3 linked regions of the Struthio camelus genome follow. The protein of the gene in region 3 purifies or fractionates together with the protein of the main gene of each other region. This does not show direct contact. Links are inferred from orthologs where the notes say so. Each region holds a gene or a part of one and is shown on either strand. Other genes may lie near its edges.

Evidence for each region.
Region 1: the proteins of LLGL2 (region 3) and RAD18 purify together in Homo sapiens (affinity purification with mass spectrometry; 3 studies listed by BioGRID and IntAct, counting the BioPlex papers as one, with this or other methods). This does not show direct contact. The link is inferred for Struthio camelus from reciprocal best matches to the Homo sapiens genes LLGL2 and RAD18.
Region 2: the proteins of LLGL2 (region 3) and PARD6G purify together in Homo sapiens (affinity purification with mass spectrometry; 4 studies listed by BioGRID and IntAct, counting the BioPlex papers as one, with this or other methods). This does not show direct contact. The link is inferred for Struthio camelus from reciprocal best matches to the Homo sapiens genes LLGL2 and PARD6G.

Annotation. Positions count from the first base shown.
Region 1 is NC_090955.1:1,140,630-1,148,744, forward strand, and holds the start of RAD18 (E3 ubiquitin-protein ligase RAD18), read left to right. Parts: upstream 1-4,756; 5' UTR 4,757-4,929; coding exon 4,930-5,004; intron 5,005-5,116; exon of another isoform or gene 5,117-5,333; intron 5,334-5,446; coding exon 5,447-5,528; intron 5,529-8,115. UniProt on the Homo sapiens protein: E3 ubiquitin-protein ligase involved in postreplication repair of UV-damaged DNA. Postreplication repair functions in gap-filling of a daughter strand on replication of damaged DNA.
Region 2 is NC_090943.1:94,492,416-94,500,602, reverse strand, and holds the start of PARD6G (partitioning defective 6 homolog gamma), read left to right. Parts: upstream 1-4,828; 5' UTR 4,829-5,069; coding exon 5,070-5,141; intron 5,142-8,187. UniProt on the Homo sapiens protein: Adapter protein involved in asymmetrical cell division and cell polarization processes. May play a role in the formation of epithelial tight junctions. The PARD6-PARD3 complex links GTP-bound Rho small GTPases to atypical protein kinase C proteins.
Region 3 is NC_090960.1:8,492,308-8,499,863, reverse strand, and holds the start of LLGL2 (LLGL scribble cell polarity complex component 2), read right to left. Parts: upstream 3,258-7,556; 5' UTR 3,136-3,257; intron 998-3,135; exon of another isoform or gene 950-997; intron 1-949. Other genes in the region: TSEN54 (tRNA-splicing endonuclease subunit Sen54), read right to left, coding at 6,027-6,177, 7,327-7,443. UniProt on the Homo sapiens protein: Part of a complex with GPSM2/LGN, PRKCI/aPKC and PARD6B/Par-6, which may ensure the correct organization and orientation of bipolar spindles for normal cell division.

The sequences.
Region 1 (8,115 bases), on a different chromosome or scaffold from region 3:
AAAGATGCTATTTTGGAGGTTAAGATGAGGACGGCTGTTTGACAGGGAGCTGGAAGGGGTGTCTGCCGTTCTTCCACAGCTAGCTCCCGGCAGGCTGCTCCGTCTCTTCTGCCTCCAGTTAACCAACCTCCTCCATCAGCGATGACCCAGCAGGAAGGGACTGGCGGCCAAGCAACGCATATGCGCGTCCGTCTCTGGGGACCATGCCTTATGGGCACACAGCCGTCCCCGCGGCCCCTCCTGAGCAGGTGCCACCTGGGCTCCCTTACCCTATTGCTCTTGGTGTAGCTGCTGGTGATGGCGAAGGTTTCTTCTGCCCAGGGCACGGGTTTCTTCACGGCAACGTGTCTCACAAATTAAGTGCTTGGAACGCAATCGCTACCCGTCAGGATAATTTTGCATCACAGTGAAGAATGTGGTAGGGGTGTCAGTAATGCTGGGGCACCTGAGGCCTGGTGCCCTCTCAGTGGCGGGAGCAGAGACCGTGCCAGCGCTTTCCTCCCTTCCCAATGCCGTCTCACAGCTGTCCTGACTTGCCTTTCCACGGAAATGCAGTTCCCATGTCGCTGGGGACGAGGGTCGCCGTACATTGCCCATCCCCTCTTGCCAAGAACCCATAGCCACTTCTAAGAATATTTCACCGAATAGCAGGCATTTTGGAGCCAAACGCTGCATTTTCATGCAGCGAGGCAAAGGAGAAGCTTTTATTAATACCCCAGCTGAAGGGCTCCTCAGCTCGCTCCCCACTTCTTCTAGGTTGTTTCATAAGGCGTTTTACCATGGAAATATTTTGTTACTTATTCAGTAGCAGCATGCATAGCTGTGGCTCAGCAATAAACACATTGCCCTTTGCTATTCATCAGTCTACCAAAGTACAGAATAAACATGTTGCTGTGCTAATGAAACCCTTATGTCAATTCCTGGGCAGAATCAGTTAATCGCTAGCCAATAAGCTTGTCTCATAAGCTATGTGAAACTGGAACAAGAATGTATGAGGGAAGAGAAAGAAGAGAAAATTTAAAAAGATCCGTAAGAAACTGATATATCAATTTCTCATAGCTTAGAGAAAGCAGAAGAAATGGATTCCTTAAAATGTTAGAACAAGCACTTAAACTGCAATGAAATTATCCTGTAAATACTACGTATTTTTAGCACATCTCAGGCAGTAATTAGTACCATTCAAATATACAAATTCAGAGATTTAAAGCATAAGCCCAGCAGAGACTACTATGATAATTTGTTCTGACCTCCTCCATCCTATGGTCATGGTGTGTCCTATATATATACATAAAAAGTGTGTGTGTGTGTGTGTGTGTGTGTGTGTGTGTGTGTACATAAAAGAATTATTGAGTACCAGTTCATGGAGCTTGACTTTATTTTACCAAAAAAGCAGATTAGAGTGAATCAGGAGCAAGTCCGTTGAAATTGCACTACTGCAAAACTTGTCTTATGGGAAAAATGAGGCACTCATGTGCATGGTTTTCAGATAACAGCACAATTGAGTCACTGGCAGGTGCAAAACTGAGGTGCTCAAAACCAACCTGTGAGCTGAAGGAGGGCAGAGAGCAAGATATTACTGTTCTGCAGATTAATGTACAAATGTTAAACCTGCATGTGTATGTGGAAAAACCTTTGCTCCTATAAATTTAATCAGTAATAAAATTCATAACTGTGCAGCACGCAGGGAACTCTATCAGTGGATTATGCTGGGCTGCCTGCTGGTGGACTGGCATCTGCTCATCTTGATTGAGCACGCTGTGCATCGGGCACTCCTTGAGCGGCAGCTGGCATGACCTTGCTTTAGGCCTTAGCGTTTGAAATTTGGATTGCATGAAGCTTTGTCACTGTTAAGGCAAAGCACATTTTCGCTCTGGAAAACCGTAGGTACTAGCAGAAATGGAATTTCATCTTCTGAACTCTGCCTTGCATTGCCAATGTTTATTAGAAAAAGCAAGAAGAGGGTGGCCCTTCCTGGGACGTTTTTATAAGACAATGTAGATGCTTCAGTGTGACTGTTTCCAAGATAAAGTCATTCCTTTCATCGAGCCATATTTAGTGTAATCTGCTACTGAAAATGTCAGTAGCAGAACTGACAGGCTACCTTAAAGAAGATTGATAAACACTAATGAATACACTGCAGGAAGACAGAGGGATGACGGCACAGTTCCAAGCAAGCGTATTGAAGCAGAAGTTTTCTGTGCAAAAAAATCTATTTTGACATAATTGGTATTTACAGTAGAAATGCAACCTCTGCCAGCAAATCCATATATTTCTCCAACACAGACAGCTATTAATCACACCAGCAAACAGCGTCACGTTGAGATTGGTGGAAAAACTTCCATAAAATCAGATTTTAAGTTAAAAGGAAATAGAGCTGCGGAAGCACAGGTACTACTGTGCTAACTGTTGTCAATATATCACATTTTTATTTTCTTACTTTACAGAGTATTTTTCCAAAGCATGATAGGACTGAGGATTCAAAGTCATTTAGACTTGTTTTGGCATTTTATCCTATACTGCTTTGGCAATGCACTAAGTTCCCCAAACTCCTGGACAACTTTTAAACCTTCTGCAAGCGCATCAGTAGTGCTCAGTCATGATCAGTGCTACCTGCCCCTTTTTGTTTGTTTTCCATCCATGCAGCTTTTTATTTTTAGCCTGGGTTTTGCGGTGCCCACTTTGAGGAGAACAAGCAGCTCAATCTCAGCCTTTGTGGCCGATGGAAGCGATGGTGATAATGTGCGTTACCATAGCAACCCATCCCCGCGACAGGTACGCGCATACAGCAGGTTGTTCCCATAGCACAGGTCTGACGTACACCTCTACAGAGAAATGTAAACAGAAAAAGTTACCTGTGCTGAGATGAAGTAGGTTAATTGCAAAAGAGAAGTTAAGTAGGAGACCATTTCCCCAGATGTTTTGGACAGTGTTTTAGCTATTTTTTAAATGAATATACCCTGGAAGACACAGACAAAGACTATCATAGCAGCTAATAGCATCCCTCAGTGCCGCATCTCATTTTTCACCTGAGTGAACAGTTATGACAGTGGTTGAGAATTGTATGGCATCTAGAAACCATCCATAAGAGTGCAGTGAAGAGGACACATGCATAGAAATGAGTGCCATGATTTTAGCGCTTATGTGTGTCCCCTGTCCTACTCTGTCACCTGTCTTTCCTCAGTTATTATATCACACTGTTCCAGCAATATTAGATTGCAAAACAAATCAATTCACAATCCTGACTTCTTGTTGCCATTAACTCTGCTGCTGCAACACATGCTTTTAAACAGTGAAGCTGATATAGCGTTGACAAGGGATAGCATGACATAGCTCCATTGCTGAAGAAACAAAACCACATCTGGCAGATTCAGCGTTTATTAATCCGTGGAGTAAACAGATCCTTGACGTAGTCCTGCTGAGATCAGCAAAGTCAGACCAGCTGCAAAATCAGCTCCATCTCCCAGGCGCCCCTGCGACCGCGCGTAACCGCCTGGTACGCTCCCCATGTACACCGCTATCTCTTTGACATAAAGAAGATCCAAACTCGATTTTAGCCTTTACCCCAGTCAACATGCTTTTCTCCCTACCTGGAGAGAAAAGTTGGATATTGTATCGTGTCACAGTGAAGGAGAGAAGGAAAGCCACGTTGGGTAACCACCTTCTCCTACCCGCGCTACCGCAGACACGACCGCTGCCATCAACGCCCCGACGCTCAGCGTGCCACCTGGACGGTTCTGGGCTTGGTTTTGGTTTTTAACGTGGCCTCTTCTCCGGGTTCCCCCATCCTGCTGTCAGCGGTGTCTCTAAATCTAACTCTTTGTGCTGCAGTAGCTCTGCACCAGCTGGACTGCCCTCTCTCTACACACAGCTAACCCCTGCACTAACAGTCTATCTACCGTTTTGACCACTGCACCCGTTCTTTGTTTTCAGCCAAAACATGTTGTATCTGCCCAAAACACTGCTGCAAATGTTATTTTTGGCTCACTTCCATTTCTCTCTGAAAGCAAAATAGTGATGAAAGCTGAATGGCAAATTGAGTATTTCTACAAAGCAAAATGTCATATGGGGGCTCTATTATAAAAATAATGTGAATTACTGAGGCTCAGAACAGGATCTTAGTCCGTCCCTTGCGTACTACAAGGGAACACTGGCTGGTGCGGGGGTTTCTGCCCGCGTCGGTTCAAGCGAGCCGACGCCTTCGGCCCGGCCTTGCCTCAAAGGCCGTTTAAACGCAGCCTTTTTTGGGGGGCTACGCGCACACCCCAGGGCCATCGGCCTCCCGCCGGCGCCAGGCCGCCCCCGACAACCCACCCGGCGCCCGGCGAGCGCTTCGCGCGCTGCTCCTCCGCAGGGCCTGTAACGTTCCCCGAGCACGAGTTTTTGAATTAAACGTCATTAGGAAATGAAAAATGAGTAATATGCTCTAGTTGGGGGGAAAAAATGCTCAGTTTTGGGTTCGTATCGGGCGCGGAGGCGCGGGCAGGCCGCTCCCCCCCCCCCCCGCCGCGCACCGCCGCCCCTCAGGCAGCCGTTAAACGCTCCGCTCGCGCCTACAGCGGGGGGGGCCGAGTCCGCCCCCGCCCCGCGGACTACAACTCCCGGCAGCCCGCGCGGCGGCCCGGGAAGCCGCAGGGAGGCTGAGTCCGCCCCCGCCCCGCGGACTACAACTCCCAGCAGCCCGCGCGGCGGCCCGGGAAGCCGCGGGGAAGCCGAGTCCGCCCCCGCCCCGCGGACTACAACTCCCGGCAGCCCGCGCGGCGGCCCGGGAAGCCGCGGGGAAGCCGAGTCCGCCCCCGCCCCGCGGACTACAACTCCCGGCAGCCCGGCGGAAGCGCGCCGACGTCGCGGCGCGCGGAGCGCGGGGGATTTGGACGCGCCGGCGGCCGCGGCAGGGCCGTGCCGTGCCGTGTCGTGCCGTGCCAGGGCGCTATGGCCGCCGCGGCGCTGGCGCTGCCTCTGCCCCTGCCCGAGCCGCCGTGGCCGCCCGGCCTGGCCCCTCTGAAGGCGCGTGAGGGCGGAGCGGCGGCGGGCCTGCGCCCCGCGGGGAGGGTGACATGGCGGCCGCGGGCCGAGGGGGGCAGCCAAAATGGCGGGGGGGGAGGCGTGAGGGGAGCCCGTGAGGGGAGCGGTGTCCGCCCGGCGGCGGGAAGGGCCTGGGCCCGGCGCGGCCCGGGGCTGAGGGCGGCCGGCTCCGCTCTGCTCAGGCTTCGCCGTCCCCAGCCGGGCGCCCGGCGAGGCTTCGCTCTGCAGGGGTCTGCCGCGGCACCTCTTTCGGATATAAGTAATGCCGGGCATTAAATTCCACCCTTGCGGGCTGCGGGTGGTGCGTTTCGGTCTGTGTCGCTTAAGAATGTGGTGCGCAAGGTCTTATGCTGTGCGAAGTGTGTGTTTGCTCGTTCGCGGTTCACGCAAGAAGTCCTCTAAGTGACCTGTGTTTTCCTTTCAGGCGGTGGACGACTTGTTGCGGTGTGGGATATGTTTTGATTACTTCAATATTGCAATGATCATTCCACAGTGCTCACATAACTGTAAGTACGATTTAAGGAAGCATGATTTCCTGTACTGAAAGTACTATGTAAATTTCTTGCTGTTCTTGACTCATTTCATCCTACTATCTCTTGTAATTTGCTATTATTTTTTGTTCATAGAGGTGAACGTGGAACTGTTATTTCCTTTTCATTGTAAATCTATACCTGCTGTCCCATGATTAACACTGTATTTTATTGAAGATCACATAAAAATCTGTATTGATTTGGGTGATTAAAATCAAGGTTTAATAAAAATTAGACTTATGAATGGCTCTAGAATAGGAGTCAAAGTGATCTTTTTATGGCAAGTTGCTAAATGGGTGATGAATTCATTTTTCCCACTATGCTATGGCTTTTAATATAATTTAAGATTATATTTTGTTTAGTTTGCACCTTCCCATTTATTCCAAGGAGTATAAGGGTGGCTGTGATAGTAGTGCATCTTGGCCTTATGACTCCAGTTATGCCTAATCTGTCATTCAGCTGACAGATTAGGACGAAAACAGAAGGCCAAAGAAGGCATATAGAATATTGAGTGGATGGCTCTGTCCTCCTATATCTTTCCTGGAAAACACAGGACTGGAGAGTGGCCTTGTGGTTTTTATTACGGGTTGACAAAATCCACTTGCGCCTTATCTGTGTGACAGAAAGCCACTGAAGAAACTTTCTTTTCTAAACTTACTTTTATAAACTTTCTCCTCTATGGTTTTATAGACAAGCCATCGTTTGACCAATTATTATTTACTGGAGTGTAGTGCAGAGGCTATCGATCCTTTATTTCCTTTACAAAATTTTCAGTGCTACTCCACAGTTTAGTCAGCAAAGAAGTTTGCCTGTGCAATATTGCAGAGGACCTCTTTTGGATGAGAGCTGTGAAGCAGCCACCAACTTTTCCACGAGCAGTTTGGGTGCAGCCTCTGTTCTGATGATGATACAAATGCACATACTGTCTGGATTAACTTAAATCCCATCTATTCCTAAAATCCTTCATTTAAATGTCTTTCATAAAATCTTGAGGTAGGAGCAAATCTCAGAGCTGTATGGCAGAAAGCATTGAGTATTATGAGCTAGAATTTTTCATGCCACACTGTCTGCTTCAGGCTGAAATCTGTTGGAAGGTGGTAACAAAACGGTTTACTGAAGTCAGATTAGGAGAAAGTACACTGCCTGTCTCATGTTAAAATGAATGCCTATGATTGTTTCATTCAGAAACTGTAGTACTGTCTTACAAAAAGGAGAACGTTGTAGTTTGGCAATGAGATTTAGCTTAGCTTGGTAAAACTGTAAGCGACTGAAAACAGTGGAAGAAGCACTGGAAATTCCTTACGGTAGCTGGTGTTACTAGCCTGCCTGTGACACAGCTCAGTTCAATGGCCCTTAACTTGAATAAGAAACTGTCTATCTTACTGTGTTTCACAGGTTATATATTTGACTTTTTCCTTCCCGATTTGCAACAAGCCTAAGTTTTCTACAATAAATCAGGATTTCTTTAAGGCCTTAAAAGTAGGGCCTTCCTGTTTTTTTTCTTTTTTTTTTTTTTTAAATCCTAAACTCATCTCGCAAACTGAATCAATTTATGCTGAGGTGGTTTAAGAGGTTATTACCACCAGATGTGCTTCTTATTGGTTGGTGTTCGTTACCGCTTGTAGTAGGAGTATTAAAACATGCTGCCCCTCCTGAGGAATCTAAAGGGCTTAAATGACCCAGTGACTGTGACATGGTTGAGGGATGTCTCCGATCCGCGCGCTGCAGCGGCCTCCAGCAAGGGACTGAGCTGGGTGATGGGAAGAGCTACTGACCGCATCAGCCCCCTGTGAATTAGCAGCTTTCCCAAGTCGCAGCCTTCGTCCAAGCACAGCTCAGCATGAGCGCAGCTCTGCGGTCTTGGCCTGTGTCAAGAGTAGTGTGGAAAGTGGGGCTTTGACTTACTCATATAGAAATGTCCACAGCTGTTGGAGGGAGCTCTTTCCTGTCATTCAGGATTTCTCTTTTTTAAAATCTTTGTTGAACTTGCCAGCCTGTTTCTAGCTAAGCAGGTTTCAGAGTTGCTTGTTCACTTAGAGTTCTAGATGCCTGGTGTGTAAATTGTGGCATCCTTGACTCTTGTTCGTTACAGAGGTTTGTAATGTCCCGAGGCCAAGCTTGTTTTGTTCCTCTTTGTTCTCTCCACCTTGCTTCTTTCAGTTTAAGCTTAATGGAGTGGATTATTTGCTGGCAATGCTTTGTATGTTTCTACTCTGTCATTTTCATTTAAGCGTTCAGAACTGTTTCTCAGATTAAATTAATATTTTGAGATTCTCTTCCTTTCTATATACTGAAATACGTGGCTGCCGCCAAGCGTTATAATGAGTTAGTGGATACGCTTTTACAGATGGGTATCGTCTGTCAGTGCAGATGAAAGTGAGCTTTGTGGTACCACTTAATTCCTGATGTACATGCAGAGTTTATCATAGACAGAAAATTATTTTGTTGCCCCAAGAATGACAGGCTGAGACCTGGCTGTGGCTGGGCTGTTCCTCCTGTAGGAGGAAGAATTGAGTAGTAAAGAAGGGAGCTGGGACAGGAAACTGCACGGCCTTTATCTACT
Region 2 (8,187 bases), on a different chromosome or scaffold from region 3:
ATAGTAGCTTTCTCATAGTCGTATTAACATTACAAATTAACAGTACTGAATTTCCTTCCATTTCATTAACTTAATGAAGATCCAGTCCACTAAAGTCCATTAGAAAACTTAGCAATTACTGCAAACAAGTAACTCCACTATCATTGTCTGTATTTTAATAACCCATTCTAATTTAAGTTACAGTTTAATACAGAAAAGATGCATGGGAAGATAGAGATGATGTCAGCTGCATAAATCATTTGACAGTACGGAACTCATTAGAAGATGGATCCTGCACTTGCAAACTTACTATTATGCTTCAATTTACCATAGAAGTAGGACCATCTGTAGAGGGACAAAGTGAAGGCTAGCTTCATCTCGAGGGGGGAAGAGAATCAGGCAGAAGTCCCCACATACCAGGCCTGTGGTCACTAGCGCTTTCTTTAAGTCAAATATATTTTAAAGTGTTTGCAGTCATCGTTTTGACACTGAGAGTAACTTCTGTCTATACAGCACCTTTCATCTAGAAACCTGAAGAGCTTTCTGAAAATTAACTCAGTGCTTCTGCACGGCCATTGCATGTTCAAAATTCATACCAGCAATGTGTGAAATGCTCTCCTTGCCAGAACTTGTGCTTTTTTTTTTCTTTAACTAGTCTCTGTTACCAAGCCACAAAACCATGCAATGGAGACGGAAATCTTGCAACACTGTTGAGGTGTATCTGCTACCCTGTTTAATGCTTGTGTTGATTGCAGTGACAAGAATTTACATTTTAAGCAAAATTTTTATCCCACATGGAAGTAGAAGGATCTACTTCTAGGTAACCCGCGGAGGATGAGATCTATTTGCCTGCTTGAAATGAATGACACTTGGGAGACATTATTGTTTTTCATATTTTTTTTGTTAATCAAGAAAGGAAAACCAAGAATCGAAGCAATGGAATGTTCAAAGTTCTTTGAAAGGGAGCAAAAATTCTGAAATTCAGCAGAACAAGTGTAGTCTGAATATTTGCAGTCTTTAGTGAGCAATGCCTTATCCTAGTGATTTACAGAGCTAGAGCATTCTTTGGAGGCAGAATTCGCAGCACAATCTCCTCTCCTCCCTCCTCCCACCCCCAAACACGCCTCTGCTAATCAACCTTTGCCATCCTTGCAAAGTGCTGTTGCATTTAACCCCACTTAGAGGTAATTTGGAAAGAGAACAATCAGTTTGGTAACCCATTTCTAGTCTCTGTCTGATGATATTTGGAGATTAGCTGCTGGGACTGTGGCTTCTCAGCTCCTTTGGTTTTTGAATTATTTGCATGCTAATAACTGTAAGTACATAACCAGTTATATAATATCCACCAGATAAGTCAAAGGGGTGCGAAAATCCACCAAGGCCAGGACGCCTGCCTCCCGCTTTGCTGGGACCCCCGTCTGCCCCCACCAGCTGGGTGGCGGGCACACATCAGGCTGGCTCGCACAGCCCTTGCCTGGGAGCACTCACACTGCTCCTTTCCCAGCAGGCGCTGTTGTAAAACACAAAGAAATCGAGCTCTAAATTATACTGCTCCTGGCATCGTTTTATTGCCTGGTTCTCTCCAGCAGTATTTCGCCTTGTAAAGCAAAGCGAAGGTCCTCGGCAGCGCAGAGCCATTCTCTTTGGAAATGCTGGAAGCTGTCATAGCAAGTGTCCATCTCCGTTTTCACTCGTGAGCTCTGTGGTACAACTCAGCAGGTGCCATTTCCTCAGCCGTAGATCTGGCCGCTCATCTTGGGACTACTTTAGAGTTAAGTCACGCGAGAGGTTTCCTTGATGCTTCATCTTCCTGGTAGTAAAGAAGCGTCGGGTTTCCCCACCCCTTGGGAGCAAACTCTTTGCTCTTTTTCCTAGTAAATTAACATGCAGCTCTGGAAGGCCTGCAGGCAAAAGCTCTTGAAAGGAAAGAGAAAGAAGACATTTTAGCGTAAGGGAAGGGACAGTGGAAAAAACACTGGGGCAGGCAGTCTTCTCTCCCCATGTCCCCGCTGCTCCTGTGGCTGTGGCATTACTCCTTCTGCTCGCCGGTGGGTGGTCTCCTGCACTGGGGCAACTGGTGTTCCCTGGCATTGGTCTCTGCAGCTGATTAAGTAGAAACTATTATCCCTGCGGCAGGAACACTGCTCGCTACGTACAAAACAGCAGTCATCATCCCCGCTCTTCTCTGCTTTGTGCCATGCTTCATTTCATTTTACATTTAAAGAAACCCAAACCAGTCCATCATTGCAGCAGCTCCCCCAAGCCATTTGGACTTATCATTTGTAACCCTTGCAAATTCAGCGCGAAGGGGAAAAATAAATCTTTGGATGTGAGTCTGCGGTAATTTTCACTTCTCAAAACATGTAGGCGACTGTTGTTAACATTAATGAGGCATGCAGCTAATCAGAGTAAGTCCCTTGCTTGATGAAAACAGCACTGCAGGAGTACATCAGGCACAGAGTGCAGCACCTTTCATTCCCCCAGTGAACAAAATTCTTTTAAAACAGAGGAGTATTTGAATATTTATATTTAAATGTACGGCCTGATAGGATCTCTGGGCTGTAGCATCCCTGCCGTACTTAGGGCAAGAAATGAGGGCAGAAAGGGGCTAAGGGACTGGGCCAGGGATGCGTGAGTGCAGCCATGCTCACGTCAGCAAGGGCTGGGACACAGCTACCACGGAAGAAACGGCGATCTTAGCTCTGCAGGTGAGAAACAGGAAAACTAGTTACAGATGACCGAAACAGATGAAAACTTACAGAAGTGGTTAGAGGAATGTGGCGCCCTTGGCAAATGATGAAAAAATTGCTGAAAGGTGCCTGAGTAAAAGCGGTCAAATTAAAACCATCTTCGTGACTGAAATATGGCAAGAGTTTGAGGGGGAAGCAGCAGGTAGGAGCTGCAGTGCCTGCTGCACCACGGAGCCAGGGCAGTCTGAGAACAAGCATTTTTTTGTTCCTGCTGTAAAAGGAGATGAAGACACTGCTCATTAAGGTATAGCATAGACATGGGAAGAGTAGACAGCAGCAGGACAAGTTTTCTGAAGCTGCCTTAATCATGTGCCCCAGCTCTCCTCTGCAGAAAGGAGATCAAATCTAAATGCAATTTGGAAACGTTAAAAAAAAATTGTATCTTAACAAACCTACAAAAACGGACTGGATTTCGTGACAGTTGTTTGAGAAACTTTCTTATCCAACAAACGCTATGCACTTATATAATATTGTTGTATTTTTCTACAAATTTCAATATACAATCAGATTTTCATACTCAGGCCTTCTGCCCATGTGTGCGCCCATTTTGGCCTAACCAACGACCTATCCAGAAACCGATCGTTCCCCTGATGAGAGTGGGAAAAAAATTGCTTATTTTAATTTAGAAAATAATGGATGTTTAACTCAAATTGGATGCCATTTAAATAAACCACATTTTTATTTTAAAAGTCTTCACATCATTACACTTGAAATTATGACAACGTGTATTAAAGTCTGAACAAAAATAATTTAAAATACGATATTCATATTTGCGCATGGGATTTTTTTAAGAGACAAACTGATAAACTGGGAAAAGGCAGCAGAAACCAAGTTTTGTTAAAGTACTTGGAAAAGATCCTTTGATAGCAGTAGCCTCTTTGTCGGTGTAAAGACCGTATTTCCTCCTATCGGTGTAGTCACCCTGTTTACTGTGATGAGTGTTTAATTCAAAGTTGAAAAAGTGGGCAAAAACTGAAGAGCGGAGAAGCTGCTCCTCTAATCTGTGGATAAAAAGCAGAGTGAGAGGCAGCGATCTACTATTTCTAAAACGCTGTAGTATACAAGAACTGGAAACAGCATTAGTTCCGTTCCTGAAATACAGTAATTTGTGCGCTTAATAAATCTGTTAGCTTCAAGGACAGGGTAGATGGGAAAAAGAGGGCTGCGTGTTTCTGTGGTGGTGGTAATATGAACAGGACCTCGGATGGCTGCTGTTGACAGGGCAGGGAGCGTGGAAGTCCCCCGAGCTCTACTAGTGAATCAACCTCTGACTTGCGCTTTGAAAAACGTATCTTTGCTCTGAACGGATCCAGCATGGTTTAGCGACTTTTGTATGAACAAAAAATTAGTTCTTTTTTGAACATTTTAATTGAATCCTCTTCCCGGTTACCCACAGCTAGGTAGGCATTATTAGCTTTAAAAGTCGTTATTAATATAAAAGAGAGGGTAATGAAGCATTTGCATTTTCTGAAAGAAAACAAAAAGTCCAAAAGAATTTAATCTGTATTTCTCAAATGAGCATCACGGATACCAGGAGAAAGTACCACATTTAGCGTAAAGACTACAGATTTAAATTACTTACTAACTGCTGAGAACTGACTTTCCCTGAGGGGGGGAAAAAAAAAAAGCAAAACTAAAAATCTAAACCAGAATTAATACTAATCATGCCTCCGCTGTGGCTGTGATTTCGGTTTAAACCAGCTGTTGGATTTCGGGGTCGCGCCGCGCACGTGGGATCATGCCAGAAGTCACCTCAGCATGTCCTTTTCCGCCCCCCTGAACTCGTGGGGCGCGGCGGCCGCCGCCGTTGCCACCTGCCCCGGGGGGGACGGGGAGAAAGGGGGCGAGAAGGGGGCGCTCAGGTCTGCACGGCGGCGTGTGGGCGGCCGTCGGGGACGTCGAGCAAGGGGGCGCACCGGCCCGCGCCGCCTTCGCGCCACCGCCGGCCCGGCGAGGGCCGAGGGGCGGGGCGAGAGGCGAGGGGGCGGGGCGAGAGGCCTGAAGGGGCGGGGCGAGCGAGGCGAAGGGCGGGGCGCAGGGGTGGCGGGAGGCGGGGCGCAGGAGGCGGTGCTCTGCCCGCCGGGCCGCCAGCCGGGGCCGCGCGGCGGTTGGGAGCCGGAGCGCGAGCCCAGCGGAGCGGCCGCTCTCATTGGCGCGCCGGGACAAAGTGGCCGCAGCCCCGCGCGCGGCGCGGCGCGACACGCTCGCGGGGGGCGGCGGGAGCCGCCGGGGCCGGGCCGGGCCGCCGGAGGGCAGCGTCCCGCGGGGGACTCGCAGCCCTCGGTGTGCGAGGCGCGGAGAAGGAGGCGGCGGCGGGGGAAGCAAGCGGGGACCGAGAAAATGAATCGGAGTTTCAATAAGTCTCAGACTCTGCGGTACCTGGAGTGCAGCGCGGTGGAGGTGAAGAGTAAGGTGAGGAGAGCGCGGCGCGGCCTCGGCCGGCGGCGGCTCGGTCCCTCTCCGTCCCCCCGCCGCTCCCCGCCGTGCGCGGAGCCCCCCGCCGCGCCGCTCGGCTGCGGCAGCCCGCGCCGGCAGGAGCTGGCGGGGCGCCTCGCTCGGGCTCCGGCGGTGTGTGTCCGCCCCGCCCGCCTCCTCCCCCCCCACGGCGGGACCGGGGGCGGCGCGACCCCCTTCCCCCCGCACGGCCCGCGGGGGCCGGGCCGGGGGCTGAGCGGGATCGGGGCGGGCGGGCGCCGGGGGCGCCGTGCCCGCCGCTCCGGCTCGATCTTTTGTTTCGCCGCAAGGACTTCGGCGCAAACTTTTGCGGGGGGGGGGGGAGAGGAGGAGGAGGGAGGGCAAGTTTCGAAACCGCCCATTGTTTTCGCTTTGCCGAAAAGCGGGGGATTTCGGCGGGGGCTTTTCGGCGGGGGCTTTTCGGCTAGCGGCGTGCGGAGGGGAGGGGGGCGGCAGCGGGACCGCCCGCCCTGCCGCCGTGGCGGGGCTCGCCGCGTCCCCGGCCCGGCCCGGCTCGGCTCGGCCCGGCCCGCCGCGGGCTGCTCGGGCTCCGTGCTCCCCCTGGTTGGGCGCTTGGCGGCCCCGGAGCGGAGCCGTTTAGCGCTTTCTGCTTATTTTCTAACCGGTTTGGTTAGGTGGGGAGGAGCGGGGCTCCCCGCCGCCTCGCCGAAAGCGAGGGAGCCGCCGGGGCCCAGCTGGGCCCGCCGGCCCCCGAGCGGGGCCGCCGCTGCTGGCGGCGTCGCGTCGCGTCGCGCCCCGGCGGCACCGTCCTCGGCCCGAAACGCCTCAGAGGGCGAGCCGTTCCCCAGATGCCGCCGCCATCCGTCTTGGGGGCAGTCCGCAGGTGCCCCGGTAGAGTTGAGCGAGGGAGCGGGCAGGGAAGTGGGTGGAAAAACGGGGCCAGGCTGGTGCTGGTGGCGTCGCCGTGGTGTGGCGGCTGCGAGGCCCGGCGGCTTCTCCCTCGCCCGTCCCTTCTGCCGGGTGTCAAAGGGGAACGGGGCGCGCCTGCCCTGGCGGAGCCAGCAGGTTGTGCCTAAGCCCTTATTTTTTTAGCAGCGGGGTTGCGAACCACAGGACAGTCGTGCGCGGGCACAGCTGCGCGTTGTGGCTCGGCTTTTTTAAACGATGATTTCAGTTCTCTGTTTTTACAGTTGGTCTTGCTGAGGGTTCTCCAACAGGTCCGGTCTGGTCGCTGTTGCTTGAAGCAGCACATCAAAATCTTGTCCACCTCTCCTAGGTGGAAAAACACCTCCTGCTTGAGGGAAAACTCAGAAATCTCCCTGGAAGCCTGCTTTCTATACACATGTCTGATCAGTGAGTAGGTTGGAAAAAAGTAAGGAGTAACATTCGCATGTTCTGGGAAACTGTGCACTGGCTACCTGTTTACACAGTGTTGGAGCTGAGGTGTCAGGCACTCTTGTTTGTGTTCAGTGCTCTCCGTTTCTGTCCTCTGCCGCTGTTAGTATTTGCATTGAGATCAGCCAGCCTATAGCTCTGTCTCAGTGGGAGGGCTATCTCACGTGCAGGGGACTCTCCAATCATTTCCGAAGGTGACATCTGAAACGTGGGTTGAGAGCTCTCATTTCCTAACCTCCCATTGCTACTCGAGTGTTCGAAGGGGGTCAGCAGGCCAGGGACATTTTCGTCTTGCTTACACAGCTGGAAAATTTTGGTTCGGTTTGTACTAGTTCTAAGGTGTAATCCGCCCCCACAACATTTGATATGACCCCCAAATCCTCCAGATCCAGTTTTCTCATCACTGGCTTATACCCAATGCAAGCTTCAAAGTAAAAACTTGACCCCAGTTAGACAGGAACTTTTAAGTTCATACTCTTACTGCAGTATTCAGGTGGAAGAAAGTAAAATTTGTTCTCTTAGTAATAATTTAAAAGCAATCTTATAATGAACACCACATAGCCTCTGTTATAGCTGTAGAAATCTTTTAAGTGAATCCTATGTAGCCATGTAGATACCAAGTCATTTAGGTAGATCGCGAGTGTGAACGAGTGACTGCAGACCTGCAGAGAGAAGGAAATCCATTGCAAATAAACTTGTGTGGGTGGAAGGGGTTTACTGGAGGCCTTCTATAGTTCAGGGAAGTTACTGCTAATGGCACAGACGTTACTTTATAGAACAGCACTGCTTCAGTAGGGTGGGAACTTAAAATAGAGGCTGAACTCTAAATAGCATGTGGAGGGCCTACACCCAGTGATGATCCATTAATGTGCAACTTGGGTCAAGGGAGGCCAGCTGTTGAATTTCCTGGTTCTGGTGGGTCGTTTTGTCCGCTTACTGTTAGTGTGACTTGTGTGCATCAAGTTGTTGGAGAGGTTGCTACCGAAATTGCGAGGTGGTTTTCTTTTGTCCGTAAGGCTCACAGGTTTGCTCAGAGGGAGTTATTGGATTGTGGAAGTCGATCCAGTGAGAAACTCTGGCCAATGGTGCCTGGACTGTCTGGAGCTGAGGGAAGGGGAAAAACTTAAATACCTTCTATTCAGTAATGCTGCTTTTGGTAGCCTTATGTAGTCAGCCTTTTAAACATCTAGTTGCCTCTGTTTTGTAAGTACAAGGCCTGTCCAAACCTGCCTGAGAACTAGAAAGTTGAGTCTGAGAACTCATGATTTTGCATCTATCTTCAAATGCTGTAGCCTGCCAGGCGAATGAAGGTGGGTGCAGCGCAGTGTCTGAGCTGGAACATACTCTTGGCTGGGGATCAAGGGATTCTCAGGTGGCTTTTCAAAGGTTGGGGAAGTGGCAGGCCGTGGGCAGGTGGAATCCCTTTTAGTGGAGGAGCCGAGTGTGAGAGAGCACTGCTTTTACACAACTGCATGAAATAGCTTTTCTCCTTGTCTGAAGATTGAGTCAGATGTGAAAGAGCTCTGAAAAAATAGCTGTGGGGAGTCAGACGGATGATAATCTGCAAACATTTTTTGGTAGTCCTGCCTCTGTTATGATAACCAGGTGATTCTTTCCTTAAGGATAAACAGCCAACGAGCTGGTGAAC
Region 3 (7,556 bases):
CTACCTCCGCATCTGATAATACTTTATTAACTCTGCTAAAATAAAAAGAAGTCTTATCTACAAGCTTTGTTTCAGCTCCAAGCATTTAGCACTCCTATCACAAGCAGTCACCACCATGGCCCTGTGTGAACCAGGCTTTCTGCCCACACCCAGAAGTTTGCCTGGTTCCTATTACCAACACAGTCAACGGTCACAAAACAGTAGCTGCCTCAATCACACAGGGACAAGCTATTCCTTAACACTAACGATCTCTCAACAAAAAGATAACCAAAGCATCATTTAAGTACTAGGGGTCTCAAGTGTGCCAAGTGCAGGAGCCATCAGATCCAGCAGACATGATTCACTGTGAAATGACAAGTTTTAGAACACTTCCAGCTTGAAATCAGTGAAGCAATCCCTAGCTATTTTCTAGCCGGGCTGTCACTGTAAAGTTCACTTCTATAACCTAGCTCAGCCGCACACACTAACAAGACAGATACTAAATAAGAAAGCAGAAGCCAAGCAGAAGAGCTAGAGCAAACGAAGGAACGGTTGCAGCACATTGAAAGCTTGGAAGCGCTAGATACCATCTTCTTCCCCCCAGGATAAAGCTTCTTTTGGAAAGACGTTCCTTCTAAAAACATCAGTAATCTCATAGTTTACTAAGACCAAGCAAAAAGCTCCCTTACATGACATAACTGCTGATCAACTGCTAGCATCTCATCACTCACAGCTTTCCAGAAACAGGACAGCGCTCAGATGCATCTTGCATGCGTTAATTAGGCACTAGCAGAGAAGACAGCTGAAAGATCCTTCCATAAAAAGGATTTATTTTTTGCAAATCTGGAGAGAGAGACATGTAAACAGGCAGTTGAACCAGCTACATCAACACTTTGTGCAGGTGGCCACCCTTAAAAACTGAAGATAGATCCTTCTGATTTCTTAGAAAAGGATCGAGAACCAATCTTACCAATCAGGAAAGTTCATGGACTTCCACAGCTTTGCGTTCAGAGTTACCAGCAACTGCCCACTTGTGATGAATTCGCTAACTGTGCAAACTTATGTGTCATTATGACTCCTATTGTATTCTCCTTGTCATGGGAGCATGACAACATGAAGTTTCAAAATGCTACAGCAGAACAAAGTCTTTGCATTGGACAACGTTATTGCACACAATGCAAAACTCTTTGTAGACTTCTAAATAAGAAGTGTGATTCAAGTGAAAGACAGAATGGCTCATCATCCTGAAAATAACTTCAGGATAGCATTTTTACACCAAAAATAGTGGGGACGTGAAAGCATTTTCTTTCTAAAGCCACACAGAGAAATCCACCTAAAAGAAACCTGTAGGTGAGATTTGGAGTTTCCATACAATTTCTGCACAGAGGTTGAACTTCCAACTACTGCCAGTCCCTCCCTGGATAAAGTATTGTAAAGAAAGATCAGACTAGTAGCAGTATCACAACCTCTTACTGGGATGTAGTAACTGCATTACGCATATACGTTTAAATCCTCTTACCCTTTGACATTTCTCAAGACGCTAGTCAGTCAGGAAAAAACATCTGTCCCACAAGCAATTCCCCAATAATAATCAAATTATTGTACCAGAAAGCAACTGGAAGATACAGGATTATCTCAACCAGTTTAACTCCTCCAGTAATTTTCTTCAGTCAGTAGCAACAGTAGATGCAACTTGTACAAGACCAAAGAGAAGAGATGCTCTTCAACGCCATCCTACAGAGATGTTTAAAAACTCTTCCCCCTTTTAATACCAGAAACTAAACAGAGTCCCTGGAGCAGTTACGTCTAGAAGAGTTCAACAAGCAGCATTGAGCAGGACTAGCGAGCGCTCAGAACTCGCGCAGACCATCTTTGCCCCCGCCGCGGGCCGGGCCGCCTTGCGAGCGCGAGGAACGCGTCAGGACGCACGGAGAAGCCTTGGCCGCGACGTGCCACCGCTTTGCATCCCGCTTGCTAGAGCGCCAGCTTCCCGAATCAAAGATGAAACCAGCAGGCAGCCCGCTTTGGGCCTCCAGCTTCACCAGGGACTTGGTAAAGCAAGACATTCCAGTTGACCGAGGTGCTCTCAGATGACTACAAAGAGCAGCACTGCCATTCAAGTAACAGATTACAACGGACGGCTTTTAATTTTACTATCTCAGTGAAGCTCTCTTCCCATCTTACCTCTATCCTCACGTAAAGCTTTACGCCACTACGCTGCAGAAACAGTCCCTTAAGTTACTTCAACAGCTCCGTGAACAACGTGAAACGGAAACACGCCGAACAGCCTCCGCAGCCACGCCGAAGCCTCACCTCGAGGAGGCGAGGGGCCGCCAACCAGTCTGTCCCCCCGCCGCAGCCGCGGGGCGAAGCCCCCACGACTCCTTTCCCCGTCTTGCTTGGCCCCCTCGCTGGCTGCTAGAAGCAACGCGCCCCCTCGCCCATCTCGCTCGTACGAGTTTGGGGAAAGAAGGGAGAAAAGTGACACCGTATGCTGAGTATCGGATGGGGGATGTGAACAGAGCGTCCCGAAAGGGCGCACAGCCGCTCCCGAGCGCTCTCGGCGCCGGGGCCGGGCGGCAGCAGCGCTGCGAGGGGCCGCGCCGGGCGAGGGGCGGCGGCGGCCGGGGGGATGCGGCCGGCCGGGGGGGGGGGGGGGGGATGCGGCCGCCCCGCTCGCACCGAGCGCCGGGACAGGAAGTCGGGAAGCAAAAGAGCCGCCGCCGGGGCGAAAATCCCAGGATGTAAGAGCTCCCCGGCAACACCGCGCGCTCCGTCCACAGCGAGCGCAATAAACTAAACTCAGTTTAAAAACAAAAAAACAAACGACAACAACAAAAAAAAACGCGTTACGGGAGAGCCAAAGCCGGCTGCACCGGGACGCGGGCGCCACGGCCGGGGCCGCCCCGCCGCCCGCAGGCGGGTGGCCGGAGGAGGGCCCGGGCGCCGCGGCGGAGGAGACCGCCCCAGCGGAGAGGGGACGCGGGGGCGGCGAGCACCTGCCGGCGGCTCCGGGAGCGGCCCCCGCGGAGGGGGGGGGGCCTCCGGCCCCGGCTGCTCGCCACGGACCCACCGGGAGGGCCCCCGTCGGGCACGGCTCGTCACCCCCCGCTCCGCTCCGCTCCACCCCGGAGGCCGAGGCCGAGCCGCGCTCACCTGCGGGGCCTGGAGCCGAGCCGGGCCGCCCCGGCCTCGCTCCGCGCCCGCTGCCGCTGCCCCTCGCCTGCGCGGCGGCGGCGGCGCCGTCCTCCCTCCCTGGGTACCTCCGGGAGGGGTGCGGCGGGGCGGGGCCCCGCATGCAAATCACCTCCCGGGGCGGAGCCTCCCCTCGCTTTCATCCGGCCCCGCCTCTCTGGCACCGTCATGAATAATTCAGCGCTCCGCTCGCTCGGAGCCAATCAGAACGCGGCCACAGCTGCCGCCGTCCTATAGGCAGCCGCGCGCTGTGCCGCGTCACGCCATTCAAGCCGAGCGGCCTCACCGGCGCGCCCCGCGCCGCGGCCCCGGGGCGGCGCGGACGGGAACGGCCGGGAAAGGCGCTTTCCAGCCCGCTCAGGTGTTCGTCAGCGCCAAGGGCCCCACGCAACGTCGAGAAAAGGGGCTCACCCGTCATCGGCTGCAAAAACGAGACAGACTTAACAGCAAGTTGAACCCTTCGCGGGGATCAACCGCTGCGGGGAGCCCGGGTCCTGCGGCAAGGCAACAAGAGCCAGGCTAGGACTGTGCTTATGTGGCAGTGCAACAGCACTGCGAGGTCTGTCAACGTCTCTGCAGCGACACAAAGCTTGAAATTACCTCAGACAAGTTTTCAGTAATGGTCAGTGTTTCAGCCGAGCTTCAAAAGGTGAAATTATTCAATTAAAATACTTTGTCATCTCCTTGCAACATCCAGCTCTTCCACATCGTGGGTCCAAACGAAGCAGCCGTATCAGTCTGCATCACAATCTCATCCCGCGGGGTAAAGGCACCGTCAGATGGTGTGCTGCTGAGCAAGGCAGCCACAGTTTCTCAATCCTCCCTGCCACGGTTATTAAATTGTAATTGTTTTGTGCTGAATCAGGGAGTCTCTGCCCTAGCGAAACTCACTGGGTGGCTCTTGTCCATCGATACAGTTCCACCTTGGCATAAGCAGATGAGGCTCTGATTCAATTCAACAGGAGCGCACGCATTTGACCTAATTCCAGGACAAACGTGAGCCCCATGGGCCGGACTGGAGCTTTTCTGCCTATGCCTGTTCTTAGACACTCACCTCCCACTGCCTTTAATCTGCAAAACAGTCTGGGAGAGCGCTGAGGGATCAGACCAGAACTGCCAACAGCCCTGGCTTTTTAAAGAGGACTATTAGAGTTAAAACACAGCCCCTCCCAGGAGGGAGGAAGAGGAAAAGGAGGGTGTGTGTCAGAGGAGGTATTAAATTAGACCCTCAGCTCAGTGGAGCCCTCATGACTTCCAGCATCTGGTAATACAGGTGTGTGCACGGAACAGGAATAGGTGAAGAGCTTGCAGCAGATCGCTGCCACCCTGGGCTACAACACCTCTGACCATGCACCAGGAAGATGGCAAGGTGGGGGTGTGTGCCGACAGGGACTGCACGCAGAGGTACAGACTCCTCCTGCCTCTGACTCGCGATGCCCTCCTAGGGAACTAAGGCATGGTTGATGGCGAGGCCCGATGAGAACACAAAACCGGTGTAGGAAAGGGGCCATGTAGCCACCTAGTTGTATGACCAGGAGCAGGCATTCAGGAGCTAGTGCTACTGGCGTCCAGACAGCCTCCCCAGAGCATCCCTCTCTGCCTAGTTTCCTCAGAAATGTTAATAAGTTAACACTCAGGAGCTTGCATTGTTGGAAAAGGCTTTTTATTCTTTAGCCTTTGCCTCTTCCCCAACCCCAAAAGGAACTCAAACATTATCAAATAAAATGCATCTAAAACAATTGGTATTACCTTTCTGACGAAAGCTAGATACTGAACGCAGCCCTGCTCAGCATCCTTCTATCCACTGAGCAGGCTTTCTGGCAGCCCTCACTGGTCATTTTTCAGAGAGGCTAAAGCAGATTTGGTACCTGCATATCCTGGCAGAAGGCTCCCATGGTAGGGCCTGGAAAGCCATGATGGGATACTCATCCTCACTTTGGAGCACAAAAGCCACGGGACTGGAAGGCTCATGAGGAATCTGTAGCTTCTTTTTTTGCTCAAGGATCTCTCACTTGCAAAAGAAAAGACAAGGAACTACAGCCAGAAAAAGGGATGTCAACAGACAAAACAGAGAAGGCTGCAGTGCAGCCCTGGTGAGAGAATCAGACACAGTGTGCTGATATTGGTGGCATAATTTTAATAAAATATAATACTGTGTGGCCAAACCACATCTCCGGACAGCCATTACAGCACGAGGCTGGGTGCCATCTGCAATGCTCTGGGGTTTTCTGGGACCTCTGGTTGACAAAACAGCGCACAAAGCCCAGAGTTTCCTGCTCTCAAATATCTAGAAATTTGATTCCTTTGGCTGAGTTTTATGGCTGCGACTTTGTTTTTCACATAAGAATCTGATCCAATGTTCGTTGGCGCAGCTGAATGACAGAAGCTCAGGAGACCACCGCTGACCTGATCAGCTTATTCTGCCCTGGCTGACCTCAATGATTCTCCAACCGTTCAGACTGGCTTAGCACAGTGGTTCTTAACATATGAAAAGAGGGTCACCAGCAAAGTATTTTCTAGCGGTCCACAGGACAGATAGACATGACAGGGAAAAGGCTAGTCGTCCATGAGATCAGAGAGCTGGAGAACCAGTGGCTTCAAGAACAAAGCGGTGTGTATTCCAGTCCAGAAACGCCCGGCTAAGCTGTACACACTGCTTGGCTGCAGTAAATTTGCTTTTATAGATGAGCCACCTCCTGGTTGAACAAAACCAGTTGCAGTGGTGGACTACCAAGTGTAAGAGTTGGTTATCATAAGCTCTATTTTCCATAGTATTTCATTAATCAAGAAAACAAATCCTGAATAAAAGCTCTCCCCTTCATCCCACATCACTTCTGCCCGTGACAGCAACTTCAGTGATTAATATCAACTGGCAGCTTGAATTCCTTTAACGAATAAAAGGCAATTTCTCCATGGTCCACCAGTGCAAAGACCACCGGGACGTCCCCACTCTGGTATGTGACCTGCTTCAAAGCTCGAAGGGATGGAATCTGCTCGTCAAAGCTGTAGAAGGAAAAATAGTTCTCAAAGCACAGAAGAATACATAAACCCAGCTGTTCTGGGAAGTTTTGCTTATCAGAGACAGAACAATAGCTAGACAATTCACAGCAACAAGCCAGGCTGCCCTCAAACTTCACCCAGCTGGGCATCCCTGAAAAACCAGAGCTCACAATGGTCACCCCCTCTGGTCTCATGAGCTGGAACTGACTCTCCCCACACTTCTCAAGCAAAGCGGGAGACTGCCAGCAGTGAGAGCACACCACATGCCAGGAACCAGGAGCTGTCAAATCCTTTGCTGAAAACAAGGGCAACTGTACAGTGCTCCATGCTGTGGCTATTAGATGCAGCTCACAGGGCTACTGGCAAGTTGCCAATCCAATCTAAATACTTTTATATTAGGAAGTTCTTTAGGTTGCTGGGATCGACATCTGACCTCCTTTTAATTCCATTTAAGAATGAACAGACTCTGCAGAAATATTTCTGCAGTAAGGATCATCCTACTAATTCATAACACAGACCTTTGTAAACCTGAATTACCATCTTCCTTCCTCTGTCTCTACTGAAGTTGAGAGTAGAGAAGAGACTGTTTTAGTATATCAAAACTAGAAAAGGCAGAAATTGAACTTTGCATCTACCTATGGAATTTAAGTATCAGATTCTGGATCGGGCAAGAAAGCAGATACCTGCCCCAAAATTACATATGACAAAGATCAAAATACTAAACCCATGGCCCTGAGCCAGTAGTCACCTCTAGGTAGGCACAGCTCTGCATAAATCCACAGGGATCTGCACTGGCTGAGGAGTCACATACCATATGGCTCTCTGCAAAACCGGGCTCTGTGCGAGTTTCACAGGCATTGCATAAATACAGCTGTGGCTGCTTCTTGTTCCCGACTCCAGTAATACCCGCATGAGCAGCAACCAGATGACCAAACAGTGTGGGCTGAGTGCTAGGGCTGGGGGAAGAGTCAGCCACAGACTCCAAGAAAGGAGGAACAGAAAGAAAAGGAAACCTCGGGGCAGGACCACCCTAGAGGCAGTCACTCTGATGATCTGCAAAGCCTCCAAGATCCTGGGTCATTTACAGACCATTAGGATCCCCACATCAGCAACAGGGATATTTCAACAGAAATCATAATGCACTATTGATACCTCCGTACACACATCCTGACATAGGGCTTTCCAGGATTCGTCTTCTTAAACTTGGCCACAGCATCTGCTTGATACACATTGAAGTCTATTGTCATGCCCTCTGTGTCCTCCTGCAGCCTGCAGAAGAGAGAACACATCTGTGTGCTTATGGGATTGACAGGTCACAGGGTATAGCTACAGCAGAGGAAGGAGGGAGCAAAAGCTCTGGAAGCCTGTCTAGTCTGGGCTTT